2 linked regions of the Notamacropus eugenii genome follow. The protein of the gene in region 1 purifies or fractionates together with the protein of each later gene. This does not show direct contact. Links are inferred from orthologs where the notes say so. Each region holds a gene or a part of one and is shown on either strand. Other genes may lie near its edges. The genes, in order: RTN4 and ATL3.

Evidence for each region.
Region 2: the proteins of RTN4 (region 1) and ATL3 purify together in Homo sapiens (affinity purification with mass spectrometry; 4 studies listed by BioGRID and IntAct, counting the BioPlex papers as one, with this or other methods). This does not show direct contact. The link is inferred for Notamacropus eugenii from reciprocal best matches to the Homo sapiens genes RTN4 and ATL3.

What each region holds. Positions count from the first base shown.
Region 1 is NC_092872.1:651,273,894-651,290,267, forward strand, and holds the start of RTN4 (reticulon-4), read left to right. Parts: upstream 1-10,191; 5' UTR 10,192-10,501; coding exon 10,502-11,069; intron 11,070-16,374. UniProt on the Homo sapiens protein: Required to induce the formation and stabilization of endoplasmic reticulum (ER) tubules. They regulate membrane morphogenesis in the ER by promoting tubular ER production.
Region 2 is NC_092873.1:16,541,164-16,556,802, reverse strand, and holds the start of ATL3 (atlastin-3), read left to right. Parts: upstream 1-7,785; 5' UTR 7,786-7,889; coding exon 7,890-7,947; intron 7,948-11,306; exon of another isoform or gene 11,307-11,328; intron 11,329-15,639. UniProt on the Homo sapiens protein: Atlastin-3 (ATL3) is a membrane-anchored GTPase that mediates the GTP-dependent fusion of endoplasmic reticulum (ER) membranes, maintaining the continuous ER network. It facilitates the formation of three-way junctions where ER tubules intersect.

The sequences.
Region 1 (16,374 bases):
CAGGAAGATCTGAATCCAAATCTAGCCTCAGAGTTTTGATGCTGGATCACCCTGAAAAAGTCACTTAACCTCTGCTGGCCTTAGTTTCTTCATCTGTAAAATGGAGATAATAATATCCCCTATTTCTCAAGGTTGTTGTGAGGATCAAATGACATAGTCATTGTGAAGTGCTTAACCCAATGCCTGGCACACATTAAGTACTATACAAATGTTAGCTTACTATTATTAATAAATCTAAAATTTCCAGCTCTCATGCTCTAGATAGTGCTCTAACTCTAAAGTAACCATCCAGACCCCTAGGGACCCTTTGCTCTTGGAAGTGGAGTACCCTAGAAGTACCATTAAGTTAGGGGGGCTATTTATAAGTCCCATCAAAGCTGAGGATCACCTGGAGGGAGTGAAGGAGGAAGGGAAGGAATAATGGGAATATAGTGGGGGATAGGTTGGCAAATGTTTAATAACTAGCTCTCCAGGGAAAAAATGTACACAGGATGAACTTTGAAACTTAATCTTTTTTTTTAGTTGAACACTTTCTGTGAAATCTAGGCAATCAATGAAACAATAAAAAAAGTCCTGATTTGTAGCATTTGCTTTAAATAAAAGTTTCTCGAGTCAGTTAATAACTGGTTCCAGCACATCCTTGATAAGTATGCTTTTCCCTTACGAGGAGGTCCCATACATTGTAGTCCTATAAATGTAAATGTGAAATATTGTTCTTCTGCCATGTACTCCACTTGAATAGTCTTTGAGCATCTAGCAGGGGTGGGGAACCTGTAACCTCGAGGTCCTCAAGTGTGGCCCTTTGACATATAAAGGCTCCACTTGAGGACCTAGAGGGTCACATGTGGCCTCAAAGTCACAGGTTCCCTGTCCCTGACTAGGGTTACTATATACAATACAGGGTGTCCCAACAGTCTTAATGGAGTTTAAATCTTTAGTAGGTCATATCTGAAATATGGCTCAGCTCTGGGCGTAACCTTTTACCAAGGGAATAGATAATCTGGAATGTGTCTAGAAAAGGGTGAACAAAATGGTAAATGAACTTGATAATATGCTGTATGAAGATTAGATAAAGGCACTAGTAGTAATATTTAAATCTTTTCTTTTTCAAGCTAGAGAGAACTTAGTAGCAAGTTTCAAGCATTTGGGCTGTCATGTGGAAGAAGGATTAGCACTGTGCTAAGCACTTTTTACAAATATTATCTCATTTGATCCTCACAACTCCTAAAATTTTACAGTTGAGAAAACTGAAGCAAACAGAGGTTAAGTGACTTGCCCAGGGCGACATAGCTAATAAGTGTCTGAGGCCAAATTTGAACTCAGGTCTTCCTGATTCCAGGCCTGGCACTCTAGACACTATACTACTAGCTGCCTGTAGATTTAGGCTTGATAGAATGAAAAACTTCTTAACAATTATAGCGAGGTAAAAATAGACTGGTCTTCCTTAAGAGATTGTAGGACCCCTCTCACTGGAGTTTTTCAAGAGGAGCCCTTGTTGAGTGTTGGACTAGATGACCTCTGAAGGCCTAGAAGGCTTTCTGTCTGTAATTCTGTGACTTTTGTCACAGAATTTGACTCTAAGCAAGGTAACTTCTCCCTACCCAGAAATTTATACCCTGGTATCCAGGACAGTCACTTCATTTCCCATTCTTCATGGTACCATAGCAAAGTATCAAGGTAGCACAGCAGATAGAATATTGGAGGTTGAGTTGGTTGTGGTTCAATCATGTCCAACTCTTCGTGACCCCATTTTGGTTTTTTTTGATAAAGATACTAGAGTGGTTTGCTATTTCCTTCTCCAGTTCATTTCACAGATGAGGAAACTGTGGCAAACAGGGTTAAGTGGCTTGCCTAGAGTCACACAGATAGTAAGTGTCTGGGATCAGATTTGAACTCATAAAGATAAATCTTCCTGATTCCAAGCTCTTGGCCCTATCCATCACACTACCTAGCTTACTTGGAGTTAGGAGGATCTGAATTGAAATTCTGCCTGAAATACTAGCTAGGCATATGACCCTGGGAAAGTCATAACTTTTCTTAGTCCCAAACTCCTTATCTATGAGATGATGGTGGAAGCACTTACTTCATAGGACTGTTGTGAGCATCACATTAGATAACATATATAAAATGCTTTGCAAATCTGAAAGTGATATGTAAATGCTAACTATTTTTATTATTATATCAGACAGAACGAATCTTAAGCAGTTCTCTGATACAGAAGCCAAACCAGAATGTTTAGTAGTCTGTTCATACTACAGTTTTTTAATTCTGACAAGATAATATCAAAGATATGTTCACTCAATGAACACATCAGAAATTATCATGATTCATCAGTCAACAAATATTTTATTGTGTTTAATAATGTGCCAGACAGAATTTGCATTTGGCTTTTAGGTATTCCCATATTATAGAATATGAAAGCTGTAAGAGACCTTAGAATAATTTAATCTGTTGACTGAATTTTACAGATTTGGAAACTAAGACCCAGAGTAAATTAACTGCCCAACTTTGTAAAGTTAGTAAGGGGCAGAGCTCAAAGATTCTAAATCCAATGGTCTTTCCACCATATTCCAGCTGCTTCTCTTCCCATATGCTTACTAGCAAACCAAGTAAGCTGATTCCAGATGTTTCTGTGGAGTAAAAGGCAATTTTCAAATGATTATTATTGCTACATGTTTTTGTCTGTTACAAATTTTGTGATTTTTAAGCTCTCCTCATATCTTTTAGTTCTAGACACCAATTACCATTTATTCCTTACTCCTTTATTTAATTATACTATTAACAGTATGCAGATTCAATCATACTCTTAGGCACAAGTCAAATAATTTAATTTCTTAGAAATAGCTGAAATAATAGATAATCAAATATCACATGTAGCATCTTATATAAAATTATATATCATCATCATAGTTACAATTGTATTGTGCTTTAAGGTTTGCAAAGTGCTTTACGTGTATTATCTTGTTTGATCCTCACATCAACCTATAACATAAGTGGTATTGTTATTCTTATTTAACAGATGAGGAAACTGAGGCTTAGAGAGGCTAAGTGATTTGCCAAAGGTCAGTCTGACCTCAGTAAATGTCTGAGACTGAATTCAAACCCAGGTCTTCTTGACCCCAAGTATATCACTCTTAACCACTACTACAGGTGCTTTTGTTTTTCCATTTTGTTTTTGTTTTTTGGTAGGGTGGATAGGTGGGGGACGATTGACGGAACTGTGTTGTTTTGTTGTCTTTCTGTTAATTGCTACCGACTATTATTACAATGATCATTTTCTATGATGTCAATTTTTTTTTTTTGGTAAAACTTATGGATGAATGAAGACAAATCATCCTTTGAGACTATTTCAGTTGGAGCAAATGCAAAGGCAGACATGTGACTACAAGAATCTTACATAACTAAGTTGAAATTGATAGATGAATTGCTTCCGAAATTTCTTATGCTGCATCACTAATCCGTATACATAACTGAACATTTCAGAAGGATTTTAGCAGTTCAGGTTAAATTAAGGTTCTTGGGCAGAGGGTGGGAAAAGTTGAACTGCCACTATGTATCCTGTGTGCTTAATAGAAAAATCCATTCTACTAAAGAGCTTTTCTTCAGTACATTCTTATATGTACTTGTGTGCCTACATGTGGAATATATATGTGTGTGTGTATGTATATATGTACATATGAGAGAAATTTATATTTTTAGTGATCTGACACATTCTCAAAAGGATGTGTCCTCAACTTAGATGAACCTGCTAATGTGGATTGTCAGCCCACCCATGGCAGCCATTTCTATATGAATCCTGTCCATGTTTTTCCAGAAATTTACTCCAGGGGATCCACCTAACATGTGAAGGGCCTTTCCCACTTTTTCTGACTTTGTGTGTGAAGATACTGGTGGAGCACATGGGGTCTTTAATTGAACTATCAGACCAGCCTGTCTTCTTTTTTCTCGTTTTCATTTCCCCAATGATTCCTTTTACTTAGTTTTTCTTTGAAGATTGTTATTTGCTACATGTTGGAGTTCTTCATACCTATCACGTCTCATTCCATGACCCTCTGATCATAATATTCATTTTTAATTCTTCCAACATTGTGATATTTGACATCTGGAAGCATTACAGCAACACTAGTTGCTATTAAAAAAAAAAAAGATGTACCTTTGCTTCTGGAGAAGATTGGGCTTTAAAGAAGCTTTGCAATTTCCTAAAAGCAATTCAGGCAGCTCTTCTGATTAATCGGGAGGTCAATTCATTTTTCATTTGTATTGTCTTTCCTGGATATAGGTACTGATAGATAAGCTCTAGATGTCCCTCTCACTGCATGGTGTTATCTGGTTATTTATCCATTTATCCAGCTTTTCCTGTGTCGATTTTCCCCCCTTTCAATTTGATGAATAATTTATAAATGTATTTCATCAGTTTTTAAAAATCAATTCTTTAGCATGTCTTTTCTTTAAAGGGAAAATTTCAGAATCATCTTTATATCACTTCCTCTCTATCCCTGCTCTCCTCTTGCCTCCTCACCCTAGTTATAATCAGATACATTTTCCACAGAATTTTAGGGTTGAAAGGGATTTCAAAAGCCATTTACCTGGAAAAGACTCTGTCTATAGTATACCTGGCAAGTGTGCATCTGGTTTTAGTAGCACCAACATGCTATTCACAGGTCTACTGCACCCATGAATGTGCTGGCACAATTCTGAGTTGCGAAATACAACAGACTCTCCACATGGAAGACAGAACCAAAACATTTATTCAGATACCAGAAAGCCAAATCCATCATAGTAACAAAGAAATGTATACATAATAACAATGCAGAGGGCAACACCATCCCCAAGCCTTCCCTCTCTTAGGCTTCCCACCAACCAGCTTCCTTAAACAAAATCACAATCTCACTCAAACTGGCCAGCTGCCTTTCCCAGTTCTGATTGCTCTCTAACTTCCTCTCAGCTCTGCTCTAACCCCACTTCTTCCTGTTCCACCCTTCCTACTCCACCCCTTCCAGTTCCATGTGACTCAGGCTTCCAAGTGATTTAAGCAGGTCAAATGGGTCTATTAATGAATGAGAAAAATCTTCCCATTAAGAAGCAAAATTACATTAACAATAAGCAAAAATGCATTATCCATATACTTTCTAAAAAGGGCTCTAGCAAAGGGGAAACTGAGGATCCCAAATTAAGCCTATGTTTGCCTCTTTGTAAGTTTCACCCATGGCTCCTACTTTTCTGCACTCGCAGTCAAGCAGTGACATCGCTCCAGGGGTTCTCCGTTGTCTCCAGGATCAAATAGAAGATGCTCTGTTTGGCATTCAAAGCTCTTCATAACCCGAATCTTTACCTTTCCATTCTTCTTACCTCAGATGACACTGGAGGAGACAGTGAGGCTGATGACTTTGCACAGCCCTGTCTCACCTAAATCCAATTTACTTGCAAGTAAAGACATCACCCTGCTGATGTCATTAGTCCTGTTCTAGAACAAAGGACAAACATCAACAGCTGTCTGCCATGTACTTTTCTATCCAGTGACTCCATTTCTCAGCTCCGAACATTTTCTCTGACTGTCCCCCTTGCCTGGGACACTTACCCTTAATGACCTTACTGGCTTCCATTAAATCCCAACTAAAATACCATCATTTACCAGAAGTTTTCCCCAACACCTCTTAATTCCAGGGCCTTTTCTTAATTGGCTCCTATTTATCCTGTATAGAGCTTGCTTTGAATATCTTTATTTGCATGTTGTCTACTTCATGGGATTGTGAATTCCTTGAGGGTAGAGACTATCTTTTGCCTATTTTTGTATTACCAGTGTTTAGCACAGTATGTGGCACATAGTAGGTGCTGAATATATATTTATTGATTGATTGAAGGAGAACAAGTCTGTCTCTTCTACATTGTATGGAATCAAATAGTTGAAGATAGTTATCATGTCTGCAGTCTCTTTTTCTTCTGCTAAGAAATATGGTGGTGGATCAGTGGAATAGATTAGGTACATAATATATAGTATTTGAGAAAAATTGCTGGGAAAACTGGAAAGCAGTTTGGCAGAAACTAGGCATAGCAACCTCTCATACCATATACCAAGATAAGGTCAAAATGGGTAAATGATTTAGACATAAAGGGTAATTTTATAAGCAAATTAGGGGAGCATGGAAAAATTTACCTGTCAGGTCTATGGATAAGGGAAGAGTTTATGACCAAACAAGAGAAAAAGAAGATCACAGGAAGTAAAATGGATAATTTTGATTACATGAAATAATTTTTTTTACACAAACAAAACCAATGCAGCTAAAATGAGAAGAAAAACAGTTAACTGCGAAATACTTTTATAGCAAGTTTCTCTGATAAGGGCCTCACTTTTCAAGCATATAGGTAACTGAGCCAAATTTATATATATATATATATATATATATATAAAAAGAACCATTCCCCAATTGATAAATGATCCAAGGATATGAACAGGAAGTTTTGATTAGAAGAAATTAAAGCTATCTGTGGTCATATGAAAAAATGCTCAAAATCACAACTGACTAGAGAAACGCAAATGAAAACAACCTTGAGGTACCACCTCACATCTATCAGATTGGATAACAAGAAAGAAAAAGGAAAAGGCAAATGCTGGAGGAGATATAGAAAATAGGGACACTAGCAAATACCATTATTGGTGGAGTTGTGAACTAGTCCAACTATTTTGGAGAACAATTGGCAACTATCCCCAATGAGCTATAAAACTATGCCTATCCTCTGACACATCAATACTACTACTAGGTCTGTATTCTAAAGAAATCAAAGAAAAAGGAAAAGGACATATATGTACAAAAATATTTATAGCAGCTCTTTTTGTGGTGGCAAAGAATTAGAAATTGAGGGAACGTCCATTAATTGGAGATTGACTGAACAAATTGTGATATATGATTGTGATAGAATACTATTGTGCTGTAAGAATTGATAAGCAGGATGGTTTTTAGAGAAAAACTGGGAAGATTTATATAAACTGATGCAAAGTGAAGTAAGTAGAACCAGACCATTGTATACTATAACAGTAATATTGTACAATGATCAGCTGTGAATGACTTAGCTATTTTGTCATACAATCATCCAAGACAATTCCAGAGGACTTAAAATGAAAAATGCTTTCTCTAGAGAAAGAACTGATAGAGTCTGAATGCAGATCAAAACATCCATTTAAAAAAAAAACTTTTTCCCCTCTTTTTTCTGTCTGTTTTCTTTTGCAACATGGCTAATCTGGAAATATATTTTGCCTGACTGCACATGTATAAGCTATAGCAAATTGCTTGCCTTTTCAATGAGTGGGGGAGGGGTGGGAGGAGGGAGAGAATTTGGAACTCAAATTTTAAAAAAAGAATTTAAAAAATATTTTAAAAAAGAATTAAAAATTGTTTATGCATGTAATCAAGAAAAGTTAAAAAATAGATAAAATAAATTCAACATGTAACTTTAAAAAAGAGTATTCAGTACAAAAGGCCTCCAAAGAACTCTTCTATCCATCAGAGAATCTAGTATTATGCTGGGCACACAGTAGGTGCCCACTAAACATTTGTTGAATTTATTTTTAAAAAATGTTTTATTCTGAACTTAATACCAAATAAGATGAGCATTTTCATATAGAAAGAATAGAAAAAGAAGACTGTACATGATGCTACAAATATATATGCTTTACAGATTGCTCTTTTTAAAAAATATGTAATAAGTTCAACATGTTATTTAAAAAACAACAAAAAAACCCTGTGCCCAAAGGGCTAAAAAAAAGTGCACACCCTTGGACCCAATAATACCGCTATTAGGTTTATATCCCAAAGAGATCAAAGAAGAAGGACCTACATGTCCGGAAATATTTAGAGTAGCTCTTTTTGTGGTAGTAAAGAATTGGCAAGTGAAGGGATGCCTATTAGTTGGAGAACGGTTGAAGAAGTTGCTTTGTATATGTTTGTTTGCATGGGTCCCTCATTATGTTGTAAGCTCCTTGAAGGCAGGGACTGTCTTTTGCCTCTTTTTGTATTTGTGTTTGTATTTGTATTTTTGTATTTGTGTTTAGCACAGAGCCTGGCACGTATTAGGTACTTAGCAAATGTTTATGGAATTAAATTCTCTGAGCTAAACACTCCCATTCCTTCAACTGACCAACTGTGATATAAACTGATATCTCTTCACAATTCTGGTTGCCTTTTCACCTGTCTCCTAAAACTGTTTTTAATCACTTAAAAGGCAATATCAATGGGCACTGAAGTGACAAGTATTAAGGGCTATCTGGCTATGCCATGTCCTATGCTAGGACCCTCTCAAACTTAGAGCCTCCTTCTCTTCAAGGTCCAGCTTGGGCATCACTTGTGCCATGATGATTTCCCTGATCTCTCCATTCTCTAGCTGAAAGTGTTTTCTTTTCTCCTCAAATTTTCTTCCAGTCCTTTGAATCTCTCTTTTGTCCTTTTCACAAACTAACTTTGTATTCTACCTGTGTCCTTCTTGTACTCCCTGCTACCTCTGCTGTCATAGAAAGAGCACTAGTTCTAATTTCCAAACTTTGAGCAAGTCATGAAATATCCCTGGCTCTTGGTTTGCTCCACTGAAAAACAAGGGAGTTGGACTAGATGGTCCCAGAGGGCTTTTCTGTTGTTCCAGATCATTGTTCTGATGACAAGGGCAGTGGTGTTTTTCATCTTTTTATTTCCACTATTTAGGACAGTAGTTTGAACACAGTGGACCATCAATCAATCAGTCCACAAGACTTTATACTGGGCTACGTACTGGGGATACAAAACCACAAATGAAAGAGCCCTTGCATCTACATGTCCCAGTACATAGAGAAAAATCCAAAATGAATATGAGATAACTTAGGTGATGAGGCCACCGGCCCTTATATGCTTGTTGAATTGAATCTTTGAATTAAAGGCAAGTTACAATTGTGGGAAAGTCCTGGGCCATAAAGTTTCATAATTTATGTTTAATCTGCCTTAGAGAAGTGATCTGGCCAAGTAGAGAAGTTTATCATATTCACATACATGAAAAAGGATACATTCAACATTCCCTCTTCCTGGAATGAAACTGCATAGTCAATTTCAGCCTTAGTCAAGATCATTTACAAGAGTCATCTTTTGGACATGTTTGAGTTTTGTTTAAAAGATCATTCTGAATAACCAGCAATTCCCAGTGGCAAATGAGGGGGACACCTTGGAAATGAAGACTACATTGGAAACAAAGAAAATCTAAATTCCTAGCTTGGATACGTTGGAACCAGTTTCTCCAAATTTCAAGCATTGTAGAAAGTGAAAAGAGGGCCAAGTCCCCTCCTACAAATAAAGTGGAGCACTGAATGCACCCCGAGCTTCAGACCCCTGCAATCCTCAGCAACGTTTAATGACAAAACTGAGTTGGCTGGGAATGTAACGGGAATCTAGTTAGCTCCCAGACACAGGCAAAGGTCTTCCCGTTCGGCTCCCACCCTCCGCCCGGATGACTCATCTACCCATCATGTGAAAAGGCCAAGCGCAGGCAGGATGGGCTACAACGTCCTGGCAGGGAGGGAACCGCTCGTTCTCTCCTCCCCCCCCTCCCCCCCGCCCTCACCCCAAGGCTTTGGCGTCTTCTGTCTGCATCCCAGGTCACGGACTGGAGGGCACAGAGATTTCTTGAATATGGGGGTTAATTTTGGGGGGCTCCTCAGTGAGAGGAAGAAATCACTTTGGCATTTTTAAGTCTTTTAAGTCTGTCTTGTTTATTGAATTAAAAGACTCTCCCCGCCTCCAGGATCCATTACACCTATTATTTTTTCCAGTTCCGTTTTCTGCGAGGGAGGATTTTCCCTTCTCCAAATGCCTCCCAGTCCCCATATCGGGGTACTTCTCCCACCCTTTAACCGATAAACCTGCCCAGTCCAGGCAGCCAGCCCTAGCCCAGGCCAGCATCCCCAGGAGGCCTGGGCCAAATCCCCTGGTCCCTAAGCCCCTCCCATGGAACTTCACTCCCCTCCTCCCCTCCCGCGGCTAGAGTGGGGCTGCAAAGCCGGCCCCTTGGTTCCCCTTCTCGTTCTCATTGGACAGCTCTGCCCTTCTTTCCCCGGATCCCACCGCCTATTGGCTCGTGCTTTTCGCAGGCCCGGCCCTTCTTTTCGAGCCCCGCCCCGCCCCGCCCAGTGCCGCGTTTCTCCCCGCCGGAGTCGCGCCAAACTGGGCGGAGAGTGCCTTGGCTCTGCCATCTCGCCTCTCTCCGCCTTCCTCCTTCCCTCCCTCCTCGGTCTGGGCGGCGGCGGGGCCTGGGGGCTGGTGGGTGGCGCGGCGCAGCGCAGAGCAGCGCAGCTGCGGGCGCCGAGGCAGGAGGAGCCGACTCATTGTTCCGCAGCCGCCGCGCCCCTGAGCGCCTCTCTCTTGGAGTCTCTCAGTCACTCCCCGTCTCCGTTCCTCTCGGCGCTTTCCAAGAGAAAGCCCTCCCCGCCCCACAGCCTCCCTTCCCCGTCCCTCAGCCCGGCCGCAGCAGCATCCTTCCCAGCCCGGCCATGGAAGACCTGGACCAGTCGCCCCTGGTCTCCTCTTCGGGCGCCGCCGCGGGCCCGGCCCGGCCTCAACCAGAGTTCAAGTATCAGTTCGTGAAGGACCCAGAGGACGAGGAGGAGGAGGAGGAGGAGGAAGAGGAGGACGAGGACGAGGACCTGGAGGAGCTGGAGGTGCTGGAGAGGAAGCCGGCCGCCGGCATGACTGCGACGCCGCCGCCGTCCAACGCCGCCGCCGGCGCCGCGCCCCTCCTGGATTTCGAGAAGGAGCCGGTGCCGCCGGCCCCCCGGGGACCCCTGCCCGCGGTGCCCCCCGCAGCCGCCGAGCGGCAGCCCCGCTGGGAGCCCAGCCCGGTGTCCTCGTCCTCGCCGTCCCCGCCGCCCTCCGCAGCCGCTGCCGCATCCTCGGAGGAAGACGAGCCTCCTTCCCGCCCCCCTCCCCCTCCCCCAACGGCCGGCGTGGGCCCCCACCCAGATCCTGCGCCCCCTGCCTGGACCCCGAGCACCCCGGCTCCGGCCGCGCCCCCCTCCACCCCGGCCGCGCCCAAGCGCCGCGGATCCTCGGGCTCTGCCGGTGAGTGAGCGTCCGGCCCGGGGGGAGGTGGGGGAGGGGGGTCCCGCCCGCTGCCCTTCCCACCTCCTTGGGTGTGGAGCCCCCTTTCTGCCCCCCGAGAGCTTTGTCTGCCCCTGGCGGGAGCGAGGTCGGGGGAGGAGGGTGGGGCCGGGGGGGGCGATGGTGGTGGTAGTCATGGTGGTGATGGTCAGCCTGGCCTCCCTCCGACTTTATTGTCTGCGCCTGGGCGGCTGGGGCCATGTGCGTTCTGTGGCAGCCCCGCAGGGCCCCCACACCCTTCCCTTCCCTTTTCCCTCTTTGTTCCGGGCCGGGAGAGACCTCGGAGGATGCGTACATGAAGGAATGGAGAGGGGGGGCGGGGGGGTTGGATTTTAGCGTGGTGCCCGGACCCATGCTGGGGAAGGGGCGCCCTCCTGCCGCCGCTGCAGCCTGCCCTCGGCGGGCCCGCCTCTGGCTCCGTGGTGCCGGCAAGAGCGCCCCCAGCGGTGCCGAAGGGGCGGGGGGGGCCGTCGCCACCGCCCAGTTCTCCCGGACTGATGCCTATGATGTGGCGTCTGTGCTGGCAGCTGCTGGAGCCCTGGCTGGGTCGTGCCTTGGCAGGAGGGGCACACCTGCCGGCTGTCTGCCGCAGCGTGGGACGGGCTGCGGGAACCTGTACAGGCGCATGCGGTCCCTGAAAAAGCCAAAATGGTTGACGCTAAAAGACGAAGCAAAAAGCCCCCGAACCTGTGGATTCTTGGAATAGAACCAGCCAATCGAGAAAAATAACATTTTTGAGATGTCAGTGGTTCTTTGGGTAGTGGTAGATTTAAAGCATTTTTCTTCCTGTCCGGGCATTTGAACTGGTACTTCTCTTTGCAGCATTTTATTATGCAGGATTTTTTTTTATGTTGGATCGATTGGTAGCAATGAATTCTTTTTAGTTTAAAAGACTGAATTCTGTAAAGCTTGTGAAGATTACTTCAACTCTTATTTGAATACTTGAATATGTAGTACTTTTATTTTTTATGAATCTTCCATCTTAGCCAGGAGTTCCTTTTGAAAGGAAACTTAAGCTTGTTAAAAACTCAAGAAACTTCATTTGTTTATTGGCTTGGATTTTTTGATTAATACAAGATACTGCTGGGAAAGGAAGCAATTTTATCAGTATAGCAATTATGTAGGTGGTCAAGAACTAGCCATTGTAATCTCCTGCAGAATTTATTAATAAAACCATAGAACCCGTCAGGAGTTAAAGAGATTACCAAGATATTAACCTCATCTTACAGAAAGGGAAAACCAAGCCTCGGAGGAAAAGTGACTTGTTCAAGGTCACACTGTAGTATTTTTTTTTTTCCCTAATGAGAAACTAAGAAAAGACCTCTTTGAGTGTTTTGTATTTTGCTCAGACACAAAAGAAAATGTTATTAAGGTGTAAAGGATATCCAAATAATGAGGCTAGTCATTCACCTTCCTATATTTTGTATCAGAAACTTTTGGTTGTGGAGACTATCAGATATATTTGGGAGATGTCGGAAAAGATGGAAAAATAAAAGTATGAAAGAGAAGTAATTTGAAATATGGAGACAGTATACCTTAGACAAAAGAATATTATTTAGCGATCTTACAAAGACTTTTGGAAAGGAACTGAACTTATGAAAAGTGATTATTGATAAAACTCTCCTAGTATCCTGCTGACTTATGGGTTCAGAGGGCAAAAAGGGGAAGACTTGCTTATTTGGAGATGACCTTTATTCAGTTCTGTTTTATTAAAGATACACTGTGAAATATGCTGTGAGAGAGAGATACAAATTGAAAAATGACACAGAACCTGCCCTCTAGGAGCTTAAATTGGGGGGGGGGGGTGAGGAGGGGGGTGACATGAGGAATATGCAGATATTTGTAAGAGTGACATTAATATGACAAGTCCCACATAAATGAATGCCTGCAAACAATATTGAATCGAATTATAAAAAACATTACAGTCATCTTCACAGTTAGTGTTTGCCAAAACCAAGAGCAATTTATTTGGGAATGTTGTTTGTTCTTTGTTTCACATAGTATCATGTTTTATTAAACTAGCCCTGAAATCCATGGAAGTGTATAGAATTTAGAGCTGAATGAGACATTAGCAATCATTTACTTCATTTTATAGATGAGGAAACAGGCCCATAGTGGGTGTCAAAGGACCTTGCTCCACAAACACATAGTAAGTTAACAGGCCTTGGATTTGAACTGAGATCATTTCCCAATATAAAACTTTTTAAAAAAAACTATACCAGTTTCCCTTTGTGCTTTTATAAAGATTAAGTATCTTAAAATGAAAAGATATTAAGAGTAATAGTCATCATTATTACTGTGCCTGAATCAGATCCCAAGAACCATATCCTGAGATGGGTTTGAAGTGTTGAGAAGGGCTTGTTGCAGCTAGATAGAGTCAAAGATATGTAAGTCTGACTTAAAATTCTGCATTTGGAATTCTGACCTGTGACTTCTAACTCAGAAATTGTGAGTGTGGAGTAAAGGTGTGTAAGCAGGTTATCTTTTAACTTAGGCCTTTTACCTGGCCTCATTGCTTGGATGCCTTTATTGTACTGTTAGGCTCTCATAGCCTTCTTGCTTGTGTGTTCAACCTCATGGGGCTTTTTTTCCCGTTAAACACAATCTCTATTTCTCTTCTTCCCTCCCCCCCCCACCCCCAGTTTGACGTGGAATTCTGAGTAGCCTTCTGAGGATGACTCATTATTTTATCCAGTTTATATTGGTTAGATATTTGTAGAAGTATTTTTCCAAATAGGAATGATCAACTGCATTGTCTCTTGCATCATCCTGTGTATAAAATGGTGCCTATATCCTGAAGCATAGTGATAATGACCATTACAACTCTATTTTAGAAGAACTTTTAAAAATTTACCGAATTATATAAATTTGAGGCCTCCCAAAAGCTTTTCCTGGGGAAACTGTTCATTTTTTGACAGGGTAGTAATGGCACAGATATTAAGCTTTAACAACATCTATTTGTGGGGAGGGATGTCATTGGGTTATTTACTCAGTGTGGTCTACTTTTTCTAACTAACTACTAATGCATAATACTTTTGTGCTTACTAGGGGCTCTGAATCACTGACTCCTTCATCCTTGAATTGTCTTTACCTCACTTTATAACTTAATTCTTTTTTATGCTTTTTCTGGAATTTTGTTAAAATAAAATGAAGTTGTGACCCTTTAAGGGAACCCAATGACAAAAGTAGAATGATTAAACTGTAACATTCTAAGACACTGGCAGTAATTTAATGGCTAAGTTTTATCTTCACTTTTGAAGGTCATCAAGGCCTGGAACACTTTTAGTCTTAATTTTCCTTGACCTGTCTGCAGTATCTTTCACCTACTCTTTTTCGCTGTTATTCTTGAAGCCATGTGGTTTTTTCTTACTAGTATTCTTTTCTTTCCTTTGCAGTTCCTCTTTTTCTCTTATCAAATTTGAGTGTTGTCCAAGTTGTAGTCTTAAACTAAATGTCCTCTATATAGTATATTTCTTCAGAGACTTTCTAAAATTCTTTTATCTCTGTAGTCATTATTTCTGTAGAGAACTTTCCAATTCTATATTTAGTCACAATTTTTTCCTTAGACTTCCTAATTCTTAGTTATATATACTACTTATCTTCAGTAGGCTTGCTTACAACATCTTTGGGACAATCCATGAGTAGGCAGAATGATATAGTTGATATGTGTCTCCTCCTGTCTATAAACATGGTTTTGATTTCTTCTGTTTTTATATATTCCTGATGAACTTACACACAATTGACTGTTCCACTGTCAGTTTAAGAACACTATATCTAAAACTCAGCTGGTTGAAATAGTGAAAAGGATACTGAATTTGAGATTAGCAGGACCTTGGTTCAAATCTAGCTCTGACAGTTGCAGCTGTGCAAACTTATGTAAGTAACTTTATCTCTTAAAGCTTTAGTTGCCTCATATTTACAGTGAAGATAATGTTAATGCTTTTCTCATGACAATTCTGTGAGCTAGATAGTGTTTTGTAAACATTAAAGTGCTACAAAAATGTTGAGTAATATAGTGTTGTTGTTTCAAAACTAGCTCCCTCTGTTCATCTTGCTTGTTGTACTTACTGATATCACAATTCTCTATCAGTCTTGAAACATCAGTCATCTTTATTAATTTAGCTCATATTTTTCAATAGACAAATAACGTTCCAATAGAAATGTTTTAGGACAAGTCACTGTCATGCTATTATTCATTTGTATTTGATGTTTACTGATTGCAAGGTGGATAACATAACTACTTTTTTTTTTTTTAATTAATTTATTTAACTTTTAACATTCATTTTCACAAAATTTTGGGTTACAAATTTTCTCCCCTTTTATCCCCTCCCCTCCCCAAACACCAAGCATTCTAATTGCCCCTATGACCAATCTGCTCTCTCTTCTATCATCCCTCTCTGCCCTTGTCTCCGTCTTCTCTTTTGTCCTGTAGGGCCAGATAGCTTTCTATACCCCTTTACCTGTATTTCTTATTTCCTAGTGGCAAGAACATTACTCGATAGTTGATCCTAACACTTTGAGTTCCAACTTCTTTACCTCCCTCCCTCTCCACCCCTTCCCTTTGGAAGGCAAGCAATTCAATATAGGCCAAATCTGTGTAGTTTTGCAAATGACTTCCATAATAGTTGTGTTGTATAAGACTAACTATATTTCCCTCCATCCTATCCTGTCCCCCATTACTTCTATTCTCTTTTGATCCTATCCCTCCCCATGAGTGTCGACCTCAAATTGCACTCTCTTCCCCACGCCCTCCCTTCTATCATCCCCCCCACCCTGCTTATCCCCTTATCCCCCACTTTCCTGTATTGTAAGATAGGTTTTCATACCCATAACTACTTTTTATAAATGAATACAAGTATTGAGTTGCACACTCACCTTCTGTAAGCTTCCTATAAACATTTTTGGGGTAGTCCATCAATAAGATGAATCATGGAAATGATACATGCCTCATGATTTTGATTTCTGCTACTTTTACTACTAGAATCTTCATGCTTTCCCCCGAAATGTCTTTGGTTTGTCCTTTCTCGTCTTGACGGTCCTTCCCTCCTGGCCATTTTGTAGTTCTTTTTATCTTCAACATACTGGCTCTCCTGGGATATTGAAAGAATTATAAGACTTCCTGTTCTTAACTGGCTAACAACCTGATGAGATAAGATGTCCACGTTAAAAGTCAAAGCAGTATGTAATCATCCTCTTAATTCATCCTTCACGTAGCTACCAAATGGATATTTCTGAAATACAGATCTAACTGTGTTACTCCTTTCTC
Region 2 (15,639 bases), on another chromosome or scaffold:
TCACTTACTACTATATAATGTGGACTTGTCATATATTACTATGTAACGTGAATCTATTCCATGAATCCACTACTCTTGTTTCTTAGCCAGTACTGGATAGCTTTCATTATTACACTTTGTAATATAGTTTGAGATCTGGCACTGCTAGGTAGTGAAATGCTAACTTTTTAAAGGATTAAAGACAAATAAGTTGTCTTTAATCTTTATTTCCACCAGGTGATTTCCTTTTTTTCCTTTTCTTTCTTTTGACTGATATATATTAAAACCAACTCAATATTTCTTAAAGCCCCTTGTATATAATGAAGGGCTATGCTAGAGACTGTGAGTGTGCTAGGGAAGCAGAACATAGTTACTGTCTTCAAAGCTACAAAAGAATGAAAAGAGAGTTGGTTAGGGGAGTTCTTCCCTCCCCCCATCCAAAAACTTACCTGAATTTAACCAGCATGGCTTTGCTCTATGGAACATGTTCAGTCAAATCCAAATGGAAATTCCAGCAAGAATTGGTCAATTGGAAGGGAGTGCTGGCAGGACAGGAGGGGGCTTCTTGCTATGGTCAGAAGTAGCCAGGCAGTATGGCATCCCTCCATGACCCAAATGATGACTCATTCTGTCCTTGGAACCTACTGATATTTCCAGAAGGCCTCTGAATGTACGCTCCTAGAGATGGTCAGAAGAGGCCAGTTACACGTTACATTTGGAGATTTCCCAGAGTAAATTCTGATTGGTGTATAACAAGCCAAAGGGAGAAATTGAGCTTTCAGGGTGAGCCCCAAAGACCAGCCTCGGGCTGTATTCTGTCAGGGTCTCAAGACTGCCTGGATCGTGAGGTACAAGGTATATCCTAAGGCAGCACCTTATTGTAGCCAAATGACAGTGGGAGCTGGGAGAATGTGCCCACTCTGGTGGTCTAGCTCCCAGCCCTATGAATGGTGCACTAGCAGATGCCTGTTTTTCCACTGTCTCCAACATTTATCCTTTCCCTTTTTTCAGATGCCTTCCTTTTGTAGGAAAGGCATTTGAGTCTCAAAAGGGCTAAGTGACATATTCACAGTGTCTGGTCCCTCCTACCTACCTGCTTATCCTTGGGCAAGTTCCTTGTCTCCAGACCTCTGTAAAATGAATTGACTTCAATTTCATTGAATTCAGCAAGCACTTAAATACTCTGTGCTAGGAACTAGGGACCCAAAGACAAAACAGTCCTCAAAGGGCTTATATTAGAGGGGAGGGGAATTCCATGTCTACATGCATAAGGGATCCCATTCCAATCCACCTCTTCCAGCAGATTGCCCCCTCACTTGTTTTTAGTCTCTCCCTATCCACTGACCATACCATCCCTCTCCTCATTCAGTAAACTCCAATGGCTCCCTATTACCTCCAGGGTCCCTGTGTTGGGCCTTCAAAACCTTTTAAAACCTGGACCCCTCCTTCTAGTCTTCTTACACTGTATTCCTCCTCCCACCTCAACTTCCACACTCTACGATCCTCCTAGTTCTTTACACAATGCGCTTCATTTCTGAATTCCAGGCATTTGCGCTGGCCATGACCCAAGTCTGGAATGCTGCTCTCCCTCATCATGTCTGTCTCTTTGTTTTCTTTCAAACCTAGCTAAAGGCCTATCTTTTATGAGAAGCCTTTCCTGGTCCCTCTTAATGCCAGAGCTTTCCCTCTGGTGAATAGTTCCAATTTTTTCTGTCTGTGTCTTGTTTGTATGTCGTTGATAGGTTGTTTCTCCATTAGACTGGGAGCTCCCGGAAAGCAGGGACGGTTTTCACCTTTATTTGTACCCCTGGCACATAGTAGGCACCTAATAAATGCTTATTGACTTATAAATAAGAGCATACAACATGATGTTGGTGTTTGTGGAGGAGACAATGGGAAGAACAAACATTCCAGGCAAGGGACCTGGCCAATCCAAGGGGATGTTGGGAAATGTTTAACCACCACATCTCAGACTGGAGCAAAGGACTCAGAAACAGTCAGGGGCTTAATGGACTTTGTTAACATTCTCTCCACTTTCTTAAGTCTGGACAATCAACAAAACTATAAATCTGGCTGAATTCTGAGCGCTGACAATGAATTTAACTATCTCTGGCTCTGGCTCACTTCTAAGCACAGTCTTTGCAAAGGCACTGAGGTGAGATAGGAATGTGTGTGTGAGTTCCAGTGTGGGGTGGGGTATACGGGGGAGTTGAGGATAATAAAAAGGCTTCAAAGGTCCCGTCCATCTTGTAATTCTGTAACCCTTGCTATCTACTTAAGTGACTTGACTCTCCATGGCCCCATTTGGGGTTTTCTTGCAAAGATACTGGAGAGATTTTGCCATTTCCTTCTCATTTTGCAGATGAGGAAACTAAGGCAAGCAGGTGAAGTGACTTGCCCAGAGTCATACAGCTAGTAAGTGTCTGAGGCCAGATTTGAACTCAGGCAGTTCTGTCTACCCAGTTGCCCCTACTTAAATGTCTACCACCATTTAATTTCCTGCTGAAGGATTTCCAATAGTTCCATTTATTTATTAATGAGTATTAATTGTCTACCATTGGCTCTTTATTGGCTATTTATTAATGAGTATCTTTTGAATGTCTAATCTGTGCAGAGTTTACCCCTCCAGTCTTCTTCCTAAACTAGTCCCAACTATAAAGGGCTGATATTGGAAAATGTTCCTTGCCTTGGCTTTAAGACAACAAAGAGGCGCCACTCCCATTATTTTCATTTTACAGTGGAGAAGAAAGTTAACCTGTGCCCAAGGAGACCCAGGGGTGAGGGCTGAGGCTTAGAGTCCACAACTCCACAGTCTCCAGGCTGTTGTAAACACCACCTGGACAGTGGCCAGGCCGTACACTTTGCACCAGGACTGTGGTCCCAACTTTCCAGTTTGCAAGAAAAGGAGTGGGAAGGGGAGAAAACTCCTGTCTATCTGGCACTGAGGAAACCAGTGGTGTGGTGGAATGCAATCTGGATTCACAGGCTTTGGTTCAAACTTTGTTTTGAATGGGTACTACCAGTGTGACCCAAACTCTCCAGGCCTGGTCACAAATCAAGAGGAAAGCTGGATTAAAAGATCTTTCTCAGGGGCCTTTCAAACTCAAAACAACAAAACACCCTTTTGATTTGGTGACCAGTTTACTGAGTAAAGGAGTCCAACTAGAGCTGGGCAGCACAGAGGGCCTTGGGATGGAAATTCCTCAATGGCCTCAGCTTCTGCTTTTGTCTTATAGTCCTAGAACTCAGCATAGCACATGGCCCAGGGGAGGAAAAAAGGAAAGGAAGAGGATACATATTTCTATGGTGCCTACTATGTGCCAAGCATTTCTATAGTGCCTACTGTGTGCCCAGCTTCTTGGAAAACTTTTCTCCTTTGAGCCTCACAGCAAGCCTGGAAAGGAGGTGCTCTTATGATTCCCATTTTGCAGTTGGGGAAATTGAAGCTGAGACAGTTTCAGGGACTTGCCCAGGCTCAAACAGCTAGGAAGTGTCCCAGGCCAGATTCTGACTTAGGTTTTCTAGACCCTTGAAGCTAGGTGGTGTTCTAGGCTGATAGCCCCAGCCTGGAGTCAGGAAGACCTGAGTTCAAATCCAGCCACAGACCCTTCCTAGCTGTGTGATGCTGGGAAACCACTTCAGCCATTGGCCTCAGTTTCCTCATCTGTAAAATGAGCTGGAGAAGGAAATGGTAAAGCACTCCAGTATCTTTGCCAAGAAACCCCAAGTGGGGTCACAAAGTGTCAGATACAACTGAGAAAACAGCTAAACAAGAACTTCTGGACCCCAGGCTCTTGATCCTGTGCTCCTAGCTGCTTAATAGGTGCTGGCTGATTGACTAGATTGGTTGATCTATGGTTTGTTCTGTTCCCTGCTGGGGCAAACCCTCCCCTCCCCCGACTTACCAGGCAGTTATTCAGGGTTGTTATGCTCCCCTCTCCCCCAGTTCTCCAACCCTTCTGTCCAATCACCCTTCAAAGCCTTGAAGTTGGCAAGTGAAATTCTCAAGGCTGGGCCTCCTACATCAGACCCACAGTCCAGCAGCAGGCCCAGACTGGAGTCCTTCCAGTTTGCTAGGACTTGCCACAGCTTGAGCTCTGCTGGCACTGCCTATGGAACCCTGGGTCACCCACAAATCACGATGAGTCATGGGAGAAGGCCTTCAGTGGAGGAAAGGTTAATGGGACAGTAAAGGACCCTGTGCACCTGAAAACTCCCTTGTGGCTGGGGGTGGGGGGAGGTCAGAGGGATATTTACTTGTGCCCTGTGCCTGCACCCCTGCCTGGGCACATTCCAGCTGCTCAGGCAGCTGCTTCTAGACGGCCTATTTCTGGGTTGTGCAGCCACCACCGCCGCCACCACCACCACCACCACCACCACCACCACCACACAGATATGTGAGCATCTGTATATATGAGTGTGTGTGCATTTGTGTATATATGTGTGTATTTGTGTGAGTGTGCCATTTCAGGGCAGCCCAGCAGAGAGGGCAGGGTCAGTGGCATGGAAAGCAGGAGTTCCTTCTGGGTCCACACCCAGATATTTCTTCTTCTGCCAACTTCTGAACCTTCCCAGCCCTGCCATTTATGACTCCTAAAACTCTTCCCTCTGGGAAGGCCTCACCTGTACAGTGGGGGCTGGAGTGGAGGATCTCCAAGGTTGGAAGTCTGTGGGTCTAAGGAGAAGCCAGCCCCTGGATTCTATTATGAGATTTCACAGGCAAAAAAAGGAGGACCATAGCCTCCTCCCTGGCCTCCTCCCCACCTTCCTCCCCGGCCTCCTGTCTGGCCTCCTCTCCTCCAACCCCCTGGTTTTTCTTTGGTGTGTGCTTTGTATTCTCTTCAGTATAGACCCATTGCCTCCTGGCCAGGCATGAAACTCCTGGAGGGAAGGAATGGATTCCTTTTGGTCTTGATATGTTCAGGACCTTGGTGGTGCCTGGCACATAGTAGGCACATAGATGGTGATCAGTGCTTGTTGACAGATTGATTCATGGTCAGCGGTTCTAGACATGGCTCTTGCTGAGAAACCCTGGGCAGGTCACTGACCCTGTTTGTGTCTCAAATTCCTCATCTGTGGAATGGGAATGATAACATCAGTCATTCCTCTCTCAAGCAGCAGTTTGGAGGATCAACTGAGATAATATTGATAAAATACATTGCAAACTTTTATTCTTGTTCAGTCATGTCCGGCTTTTAATGATGCCATTTCTTGGCAGAGATAGTGGAGTGGTTTGTCATTTCCTTCTCCAGCTCATTTCACAGATAGGGAGATGGAGGCCAACAGGGTGAAATGCCCTGCCCAGGGTCACACAGTTAGGAAGTGTCTGAGGCCAGATTTGAACCCAGGGAGATGAAACTTCCCTGTTCCCAGTCCAGGGCTCTGTGCACTGTGGCTGCTGCCCCCTAGCTGCCCGTTGCAAACTTTAAAGGGCTATAAAAATGCCAGTTCTCATGATAGACCCTTACCATTGTCTTTTGTGTTATACTGTATTATGCTCTGCACACTGCTTCACAGCATGTATATGTACATCATGGCAGGCAGGATGACAGAGTCAGGAGAAACCTGGGTTCAAATGCTGCCCCTGGCCCTTACAGGCAGGGTCACAATGGCTAAGTCATTTGGTATTTCATTAGTGTTTACCTCCGTAAAATGGGACCAGGAATACTTGTGTCTCCTGCATCACAGGGCTGCTGCCAATGTTGAATGAGATGATGTATTTAAAGAATTCCAGGCATCAGCGATTATTATAAATAGTCTCCTGTGACCTCAATACTCACCAGAATAATAAGAATTCACGCTAATAAAGTGAGTAAAGTGTTTTTCCTAATGTCAGTCACTTGAAGCAGCTTGTTCAGCTCTTACCTGAACCCATTTCAACAAGGAAGAAGCTATTGCCCAAGCCCACGATGCTGCCCAGGGGCAAGATTAGAACTCAAACCCAGGTCTCTCCTGACTCTACTTGTCTGTTGAAAAGGCCACTCTGAGCCACCATGGACTGGACAAAATCACTTAGCAACCAAATATTTATTGAGTAATGACCGTATACACAGTCCTGTGTTGAGTCCTGACTGGGATCCAGTTTAGGTAAGGAAGAGGCCCTGTGCTCACTGAGTGGATGAACAAGAACCAGCATTTGGGCACAGCCTCTGGGAATTGGAGGCAGCGGTTCAAAGGGCACTCCTTGTCTGGGCCTCACTGTGTCTTGTAAAATGAAAGAGCTGGACTATGCCTTTCAGCTCTATGTTTGCTCCTGGGTCCCACATTTGTACCCGATTCCTCAGGCTCATTTGTCTGCGTAGAGCCTGAAAGAAAGTGGTCAGGAGGGTGTGTGTCTGTGTGTGTGCCTCAGGTCTGATGACCCAGAGGATGGATGGCGATCATTAAGCAAAGCCAGCGGCAGAGAAGGCTCTTTTCTAGGGTGCCTGAGGGCCACTAATGACACAGCAATTATCCTGGAGACAGCCTGGATCATGACTGTGCTCCTGGAAGTGAGGTTACCCGTCTTTATCGCAGTTCAGTCACATCCTCTTCCTCCTCCCTGGGATCCGTGCAATTTTGAAAATACAGCAATGGTTCACTTGTAGGCTTATGGGAAGGGTCCTTAGAGATCATCTAGTCTCACCCCTCGTTTTACTGGAGAACAGAGGTCTGGGGAAGAACAGGGACTTGCCCAAGGTTACACAGACAGTTGGTGGTCACGGAGATCAGAAACCAGTACAGAAGGGCAGCCTATTTCTGTGGCCTGAGAGTGTTTCAGGACCAAAACTCTCTCCGGTAGAATGTGATTGTTTTCATTTTCCTTTGATTGCTGGTTCTAGGTGCAGCGTTTGATTAGGTGGGTACTCTGTCAATGCTTGTTAAATTAAATGGAATTGAATACGGCTGGCCTGGGCTCCTGGCACATTACTGTGCCCTTAGTAAGTGCTCATTGACTGACCGAGTACTGAAGGTCACTGAGCCCGAGGCAGGGAATTTAAGTTCAGCTGGGGCCTGCGCTTGGCTCTGCCAACCTTCACCCTTGTGCTCTTGGGCATGACAGAGGACGTCCCTGGGCCTCGGTTTACTCGTTTGTAAAATGAAGGGTTTGGGTGAAGCTTGGCTGCAGACAGCCCCAGATTTAGCAGCAGAAGGCCTTCTCTGCCCTGTGCTGGCGGTGGACACTGAATCTCTTTGGGCCTCATCTACAGTGTTCCCCTCCCCGGGGCTGGACAGGCTGATCTCTCCAGCCTGGCATAGCTCTAGGCCCCCACTGTCTCCCTCTTCCTTTCCCCCTCCCCCACCCTCCCCTTGGCCTGCTGGGAGTGGTAGTTTAGTGTCACACTAAGGCGAAGAGATCTGGTTACGCGGCCTATGTATCCCCACTAGAGGGGATGCCGCTGGAGGGCAAGGCCTGCTTTTCTTTATTTTGAGCTTTGCAGCAGCAGCCCTTCCTGGCACAGGCCTGGACCCTCGTGGGTGCTGCTTTGGACACGAAGCACCGGACACGCGGTCCAGCCCGCAGGAAGCACCTAGGCAGGCCACCCGCTGAGCGCCTGCGTCGCCGCTTGGCCTGCTGGGAGTTATGGTTCCGTGGGAGGCTGAGCCCCGGAGAGTCGAGCTTCCCTTCTTTGCTGCCGTGATTCCGCATGGACTGCTGGGAGTTGTGGTTTCTTGGGAGCCCCAGAGCCTAAGTGAGCGCCAGAGTGGTACTACGTTTCCCAGGAGGCTGAGGTGGGCGGGGCTGCTGCGCGGGCCTCGCCGCCGGCCGGGCCCGGGTGCGCGTGCGCAGCCCGTTTCTTCTCGCTGCCGAGTCCCCGCCCATTTCCCGCCCAGCTCCGCCTGCCCGCCCTCTCGGCCGCCCTCCCTCAGGCCCGGCCCGGCCCGGCCCGCCCTCCCCCTGCCGCCCGGGCTGATGAGGAGGCGGCTCCATGTTTTCTTTTCTGGGAACGGCGGCGGCGGCCTCATCAGAAAGCGGGGAGAACACAGGTAACCCCACGCCCCCCGAGCCCCGGGCCCTTCCTGCCTCAGTTTCCGCCCCTGTAAAAGAAGGCCGCAGGACTGAGTGGACTCGGGGGTCCTCGGCCCTCTCTGCCCCTCAGCTCCTCTTCCGTAAAGGGAGGGGCTTAGACCGGGTGGTCTCCAGGCCGTCCCGGCTTCAGTTTTCCCGTCTGTCTAATGAGGTCGTTAGACCAGGACCTCCGATCAGACCCCTTCCCCTTCCCGGGCCTCAGTTTACCCTTCTATTGAAGAGCCGAGGCTAGTTGGCCTTTGGGGGTCCTTCCCCTTCTTGGGCCTCAGTTTCCCCCCGTGTACAACGAGGGGGTTGGCGGAGCTGGCTCCGTTTGTAAGTTTGTGCGTGGCTCCTCCCCCTGCTTTGGTGTTGGGCTTTTTCCCGAGTAGGTGGGTTCCTTCTCTCCACCCCCTCCATTTCTCCGCGTGTTCCTGCTTGTGCCCCGGAGCAGTAGGGTGAGGGGGCCCCTCCCCTGTGGCCCCCTGCCGGGTGACATGGGGAATGGGGCATCCTTCCTGGTGATCAGGAGACTGCCCTCTTTGGGGTGGGTTGGAGTTGAAGTTTCCCGTCTGAACTTGATTTCTACCGGTCCTGTTTGCCCCACCCTTGGGCACCGAGCACAGTAGTGAGTGACCCCACCAGGGGGTGATCCCCGTTAAAGGTCCTCCTTCCTTTGTAGACTTTTCCATCCCATTGGACTAGAAAGTTTGAAGCAGATGCTTTTGGCCATATTAGGGTGGAAGGATGGAGACAGGGAGATGCTGAAGGGCCCGGGCTAGTCATTACAGGCAGAATTCCTCTTAGGAAAGAAGACAGGGTTTGGAATCCAGACCCTTTGAAACCCAGGCCCTGCCTTCTGGTACCAACCTGTGTGTCACCTAGGGCAAGGCTCCCCTTCCTGCGCAGGAACATTGAACTGAGGCCCTTTTTCATGGCAGCTGTGGTCCTGCCACCTGGAGTCTGCTTGCTAGCTGTTACTCAACTTTTATGAAACCTGCCCTGGGAATGGTGAAACTTAAATTATTTTTAACCTGAATCTTTCTACCTCAGGGGACTGAAACCAAAAGTGTGGTAGAGAATTTGGTGTTCTATCAGGTTTTGTTTTTTTTTTTAGCTGACGAAAAGAATATGAACTTCAGTTGGAGAAAATTTTCTAAAGTTTTTGAGTACGTTTCCTTTTTTTTGAAAAGAGAGCAAAACGACAGTCATTGAAGTACTGACACTCCCCCCTCCCCGCTTTTTCTTTGTGACATTTGGAAGTTTCTACAGGTTCCATTTGTGAACTTTCTAGACTTAAAAGATGAGTAAGGAGCCTGGGTAGGAAAACTTCTCCAAAGCCAACAAAGTTCAGGTCCCCTGGTTTGAGGAGTTGTATTGAAACTGTAGTGGAAAGGAGGAGAAAACACTAAGTAGGGGCCCCAGGGCAGGCCTCCTGCTTCCACTAGGAGCAGCCTTTTTTTAGGGAGTCACTTTTAATGGATGAAATAATAAAAGGAAGAACTGCAGTTTTACAAATTTGTTTTAGAATTTTAGCTGTGTTCTCAGTCTGTGATTTTAGAGAATTGCCTGAGGCCCTGAGAGGTTAAGTCATTTGCCCAGGTCTCTGGTCCACTGCCTGTAATAGGTGAGATTTGAGCCCAGATATTCTGGACTCCAAGTGTTATACTGCCTTTTCTGTCACATATATGATAATGGGGGGAAAAGTCCCAAAAGGACATAGTATGGTATGGTATAGTATAGTATAGTATGGCATGGTACCGTATGAGATGGTACAGTATGATACGGTACAGTATGGTATGGTATGGCATGGTACGGATAGTGGTGTGGGGGCTGCCAGACCTGGCTACACATTGACTTAGCAAGCCACGTATTAACATCATCTGTGCTTTATTGTATTTTTACTTATTTTGTTAACTATTTCCCAGTTACATTTTGTTCTGGTTTGGCAGCTGTGCCTCAGGCCCAGGCCTCTGCTGTAGTGGATAGAGGGGTAGTGCAGCCATGAAGAGCTGCATTCAAGTTCTCACTGACACATCTTGGCTGTATGACCTTATCTTGGTGCTCTAGGCAGGGGTGGGGAATCTGTGGCCTCAAGGCCCTCAAGTTTGGCCCTTTGACTAAATCCAAACTTCAGAGAACAAATTCCCTTAAGAAAAGGATTTGTTCTATAAAACTTGGACTCATTCAAAAGTTCAAAACCAAGGACTCAAAGGGCCACATGTGGCCTTGAGGCTGCAGGTTCCCCACCTCTGTTCTAGGAAGCTCCTGAAGATTCTTAAGTTATAGAGAAGGAACTAACTGCATCAGTTGAGTTTTTTCTCATCTGGAAGGGCTTCACACCAATGAAATCATAGGTTGGTCCTTCTCCCTTAGAATTCCAGGATTCCCACACTTAATACTTTGTTTTACGAAAACGGCTTTGTCTTGTGATGGATGGCTCTTAAAGTTCTCGTTGTTAACATGACACTCTAGGAAAGGAAACTTTTCTTCGCTTGGCAATTCTGTTCATGACTGTTTTCGTATCTGACACTGTAACCTCCTACTGCCTTCTAGGATCAAACTGAGAAAGAAAGCATTTTGTAAAGCATCCTGTCAATGTTAGCTAGTATTATTTTGGAAGAATTAGACTAGGGCAAATTCTTGAAAAACAAAACAAAACAAAACTAAGGTACCAAACAATAGTTTAAATACATTTTAGCATAGAGAGAGCACCAGCTGTGGAGTCAGCCTCCCTGGGCCTAAGTTTCCTCATCTGTAAACTAAGGGGGTTGGACTAGGTGACCTCTGAGATCCCTTCCAGCTCTAGAGTAAGGATCCTGTTTTAGAAACATTGTATCCTGGTAGAAACCTTATGGTTGGGTCTTTTCTTTGGTGGAAAGGATGGTGGATGATATAAAAAATCAAACATTGTATACTTTTGAGATGCTCTACGTGGACTTTCTATTAAGGATTCGCCTAATTGGGTTGCCTCTTAAGGAGCCTAAGCTTTTGTAAATACGTGGACTTTCTAGAAACTGTAGGGTCAGAGAGTGTGATTTGCTGTTCTGCATTCTGGTACAGAGTAAATATATTATGGCAGGATTTATATGTGTAAAGGATTTATATCCTTTATGGGATATGTTCTTAAAGTGTTCCAAATCATTCTTAAAGCATTCACTCTCTCCTCATTTTAACAAATGGGCTTTTGAAACCAAATTTTGACTGTGATTCATTTTGGGATTTCCCATAGGTGCAGATCTGTAGCTCTTCTGCCCAGAATCTGGAGAGAGAGAGAACAGAGCTCTTTGGGGACTTGGAAGGTTCCCACAGTCACTGTGTCATCCCCTCCACACGAACCCAGCTCATCTGCCCTTGAGGTAGCTCTCCTGCCCCTAAGTCAGGTTGCTTGGCTCCATTTGGGAACTTTCCTTTGAAATCTAAGGACACCTCCTAGAAGTGAAGGAAAGAACTTCTGACCTTTTCAGTTTGTTAGATGCTAACGTATTAACAAAGGTCCTACAATCAGCACACAGTAGTGGATTTGGAACTTGGAAAGGTCTACATTTTGTGACATGCTTTATAAATTCTAGGGATCACAGGATGAGAACTGGAAGGACTTTTGAAATTGTGTCTGGTTCCATCCTTTTACAGAGGAGTAAACCTAGGCCTGGAGATGTGGCCAAGGTAACGCTTTAGGTAATTCAGAGCAGAGCCAAGGTTGGAGCCCAGGTCTCTCTAGGTCTGTTGATTTTCCATTCAGTCAGCAATCCTTTAGTAACTGCCTGTGATGTGCCAGGTACTGTGCAGGTCTCAGCAGCAGCTGTGATTAGAGATGGTGCTGCTCCATGCAAATTTCTGAGTTACCAAAACACTTCCAAAATATATTTGTTGCAATTGTCACTGATGGATTCAGTTGTCTCTACAGAAGGTTTCCAGAGCTGTATCTCTAGCTCAAGACTTTCCTGAGCTCTAGCCTGGTCTGACCTGCTCTATGTTCCATGAGCACCTCAGACCCAAACTGTCCAGAACAGGACTCCATAACCCTCACGTCTCTGTTTCTCTCCCAGACGCATTTCCTTTGTGGCCTTGCCTGTGTTCATATTAAGGCCTGCTGCCTTCTCAGAGAGCCAGCCCTTGTGGCTTCCACCTCCAAAACGATCATGCTTCAGTTCCAGTCTTCACTGACTTATGTCCCTACCTCAGTTTTCTTTCTGAGTCAGTCCATCATCTGTAGAGATGCCAGCTTGATTTTCTTAGAGTACGTAACTGACCACATTCTTGACACTCTGTATTTTCAAGAATAAACTCATGTATTTGACATCTGAAATCCTTCCCAGCCTGGCTTTGACCAGGTTCTTATTGGTCACTCCTCTTTATGGACTTCACAGCGTAGCCAAGCATCTGGCTTTTCACCTGTGGCACTCCATTTCTTGCGCATGGGCTGATAGGCCATGCCTCATGCCTGGAACCTACTCCATTCTCACCTTTTCCTTTTGGAAGTACAATGAGAGCTCCCAGAAGGCCGAGTTTGTTCTCTATATCTTTAGTGTGAGGCACATAGTATGCACTCAGTGAATACTTTTCCATTCCATTTCCTTGCCTTTGCTTGTCCATGCCTTGACTGCTGGATGTGCTAGCCCACATTAGACCTATTGCCTTTGTTTTGTGTGAGCTAAAACATTCCTGGAAGAAAAGAAGGTGTTGCTCTGCCTCTGGGAATCTCATGTGACAGCTCAAGAGTCACTATGCACACAAAGCCTTTCTGGACCATCTGAGCTGCTCAAGCTGCCTCCAGCCATGTACCTCATGTATGTCCATGTCTCCTTGATAGAATATGAGCATCTTGAGGACAGGAACTGTTTTCACTTCTGTCTTTGTTATTTTTGACTCCTGAAGTCCAATAAGAATAAATTTGTGCCATGTAGGGCAGTGTGCAGCAGAATGCTGGGAATGGTACTGATAATTCTCCTATCTGTGGCACTGTAAAGTTTAAAAAGCACTTTCCTTATGACAACCTTATGAGGTGTGTACCTTATGAGGTGCAGGAATTTCCCTCATTTTACAGATGAGTCAAACTGAGATTTAGAATAGCTAAGTTACTTCCTTTTCTAAAAAGAAGCTTATCATTTTTACTTTTCAGGTAATAAGGTATTTTCAAAATTCACTTGTCTCTCCTACTACCCCACTCCCTATTGAGTAAATTTAAAAACAAACATAATAACAAAAGTGAAGAAAGTTCCCTTTAACACATCTACGTAGTTAGACAAGTTCCCACGTTAGCCATGTCTGAACATGTATCACTTTCTTCCTCTCCGTCTCTCTCCCTGTCTTTGTCTTACTTCCTGTCTCCCTCTCTGTCTTTGTGTCTCTCTAGTCTAAGTTTGTCACTTTCTCTCAGGAAGTGAGTGGTATGTTTCAACTTTATTCTCTTGGAATACTGGTTTTACTGATAAAAGTTTTGAAGTTTTTCAAAGTTATTTTTCTTCTACAGTGTTGTCGTTGTTCTAGTTCTGTTCACATCATTCTGCATCAATTTATAGAGAACTTTCAGGTTTCTTCTGAAATTGTCCATTTCATCATTTCTTATGTTACAATAATATTCCATTATACTCATACCCCACAATGTGCTTAGCCATTCCTTAATAGGATACTCCCAAGTTTTCAATTTTTGGCTATGATGCAAGAATTTCACAGTTGCTTCCCTGAATGCCTGGATCACTTTGTAAGCAGTACACTAGTTTACCTGTTTTCCTGCAATCCCTGTAACATGGATCATTTTCTCTTTTACCCATCTCATAGGTACCTCAAAGTTGCTTTAATTTGTATTTCTCTGGTTAGTGATTAAGAGTATTTTTTTCATTTGATTGTTGATATATGAATTTCTTCCTTTGAAAACTGCTTGTTCATAGCCTTTGGTGATTTATTGATTGGGGAGTGGCTCTTAGTCTAATAATTTACATCAGTTTCTCATATATATCTTCAATGAGACCTTTAGCAGAAACTTGTGGCAAAGATTTTTTCTGTTACCTGTTTCCCTTTTAATATTTGTATTAGATTTGTCTGTGCAATAATGTGTATATTTTATGTCCAGTTTATTTTGGGCGGTCTTCTCCATCACTTTGTTAGTCAGGAAGTCTTCCCCCTTCTGTAGATCGGAGAGTTCATTCCTTTCTTGCTCTTCTAACTTATTTAGGATGTGACTTGTTATTTCTGAGTTCATGCCTTCATCCGGAGCCTGTCTTGGTATATGGTATGAGGTGCTGGTCTAAAACTAGTTTCTGCCAGGCTACTCTCCAGTTTTCTCAGTTCTTTTGGTCAAATAGTGACAAGTCTCTGGATTTATCAAACACAAGATATCTCTTTGTGTTCTTCTGTGTGTGGTGTACTTAATTAGTTCCACTGATCCTTCTCTCTCTCTTTCACTTATACTCAGCTCATTTTAATGATTACTGCTTTGCAGTATATTTGAGATCTGGTACTGGTAGTCTCCTTTCCCCTCCCCCCTCCTACTTTTTTCTTTATTACCTTTGAGATTCTTAACTTATTGTTTCTCCATATGAATTTGGTGATTATTTTTTCTAGTCCTATGAAATATTCTTTTGGGAGGTTGACTGGTACAGCACTGGATAAGTATATTGATTTACGTAGCATTGTCATTCTTATTGTATTGGCCCGATCAGGCTAAATGACTTGTCCAGATCCACACAATTGATAAATGTCAGATCTGGGACTTGAAGACCAAGTATTTGGACTCCAAAGTCTTGGCTCTTTAGTTTTATGTGGCTGAAAGAGTAACCACTCAAACAGCATGTGGAAAAGCCTTCACTAACTAAGCAGAGCCTTAAATTCATGGGCATTCTCTCTCTCTCTCCTGCCCCCCACATTTAAGAAACAAATGGATGAAATGGAAACAAGCAACCAGACATTCATTTTTCTTCTCAAAACCCTGAGTACTTCTGGGGGTTCGTGTTTCCAGCCTAATTCTCCTTTCTCTCTGGAATTGGAAGGTCTCAGACATTTAGTCTTTATAGCTAAAGAATCAAAAATCTCATGACGGGGATGGCAGTCCAGAGTCAGTCCATAAGTTTGTGGCTGACCTAGGACTAACAGTCCAGATTCCTGTGCTTACATGCTACCAGCTTTCTCCTTTGCATAGTCATAACTGATCTTAAGAAAGACCTTACAAAGTTCTCAGTCATCAGAGAAAGAGCAGTTTGGTTCTCGTTGTAATGTGAAGGCAAGAAAGGCTACTGCCTTTTAGAAAGATTTTCAATAGGAATTGAAAAGAAAGGATGTTCTGCTAACCCTTCATTTTCTGAAACACTCATTTTTCCCCAACCATTCTAATTTCTTGAGGTTTCCTGTAGTGCTTTATTTTTACTGGAATCACTGAAAAATATATGTGTAACTATGAATACATAGTCCAACAGCAGATATGCTGTTTCAAAAGACAATTCTTAAACTGATTTGAATTTGGATTAGCCTCTCAGTTCCTAGGCTGAATCCTGTAACTCTGTTTTTGGGTGATGTTTAAAGGTTGTTAGCAGGAACATGGCATGCCAATGGGGTGTGTGTGTATGTGTGGTTGGGTGTGTTTTCTTTGCCTCTCAAAAAATGCAGTATTTTAAAAAGAATGGAAAATCTTGGCTCATAACTTCTCTCTCTCTCTCTCTCTCTCTCACACACAC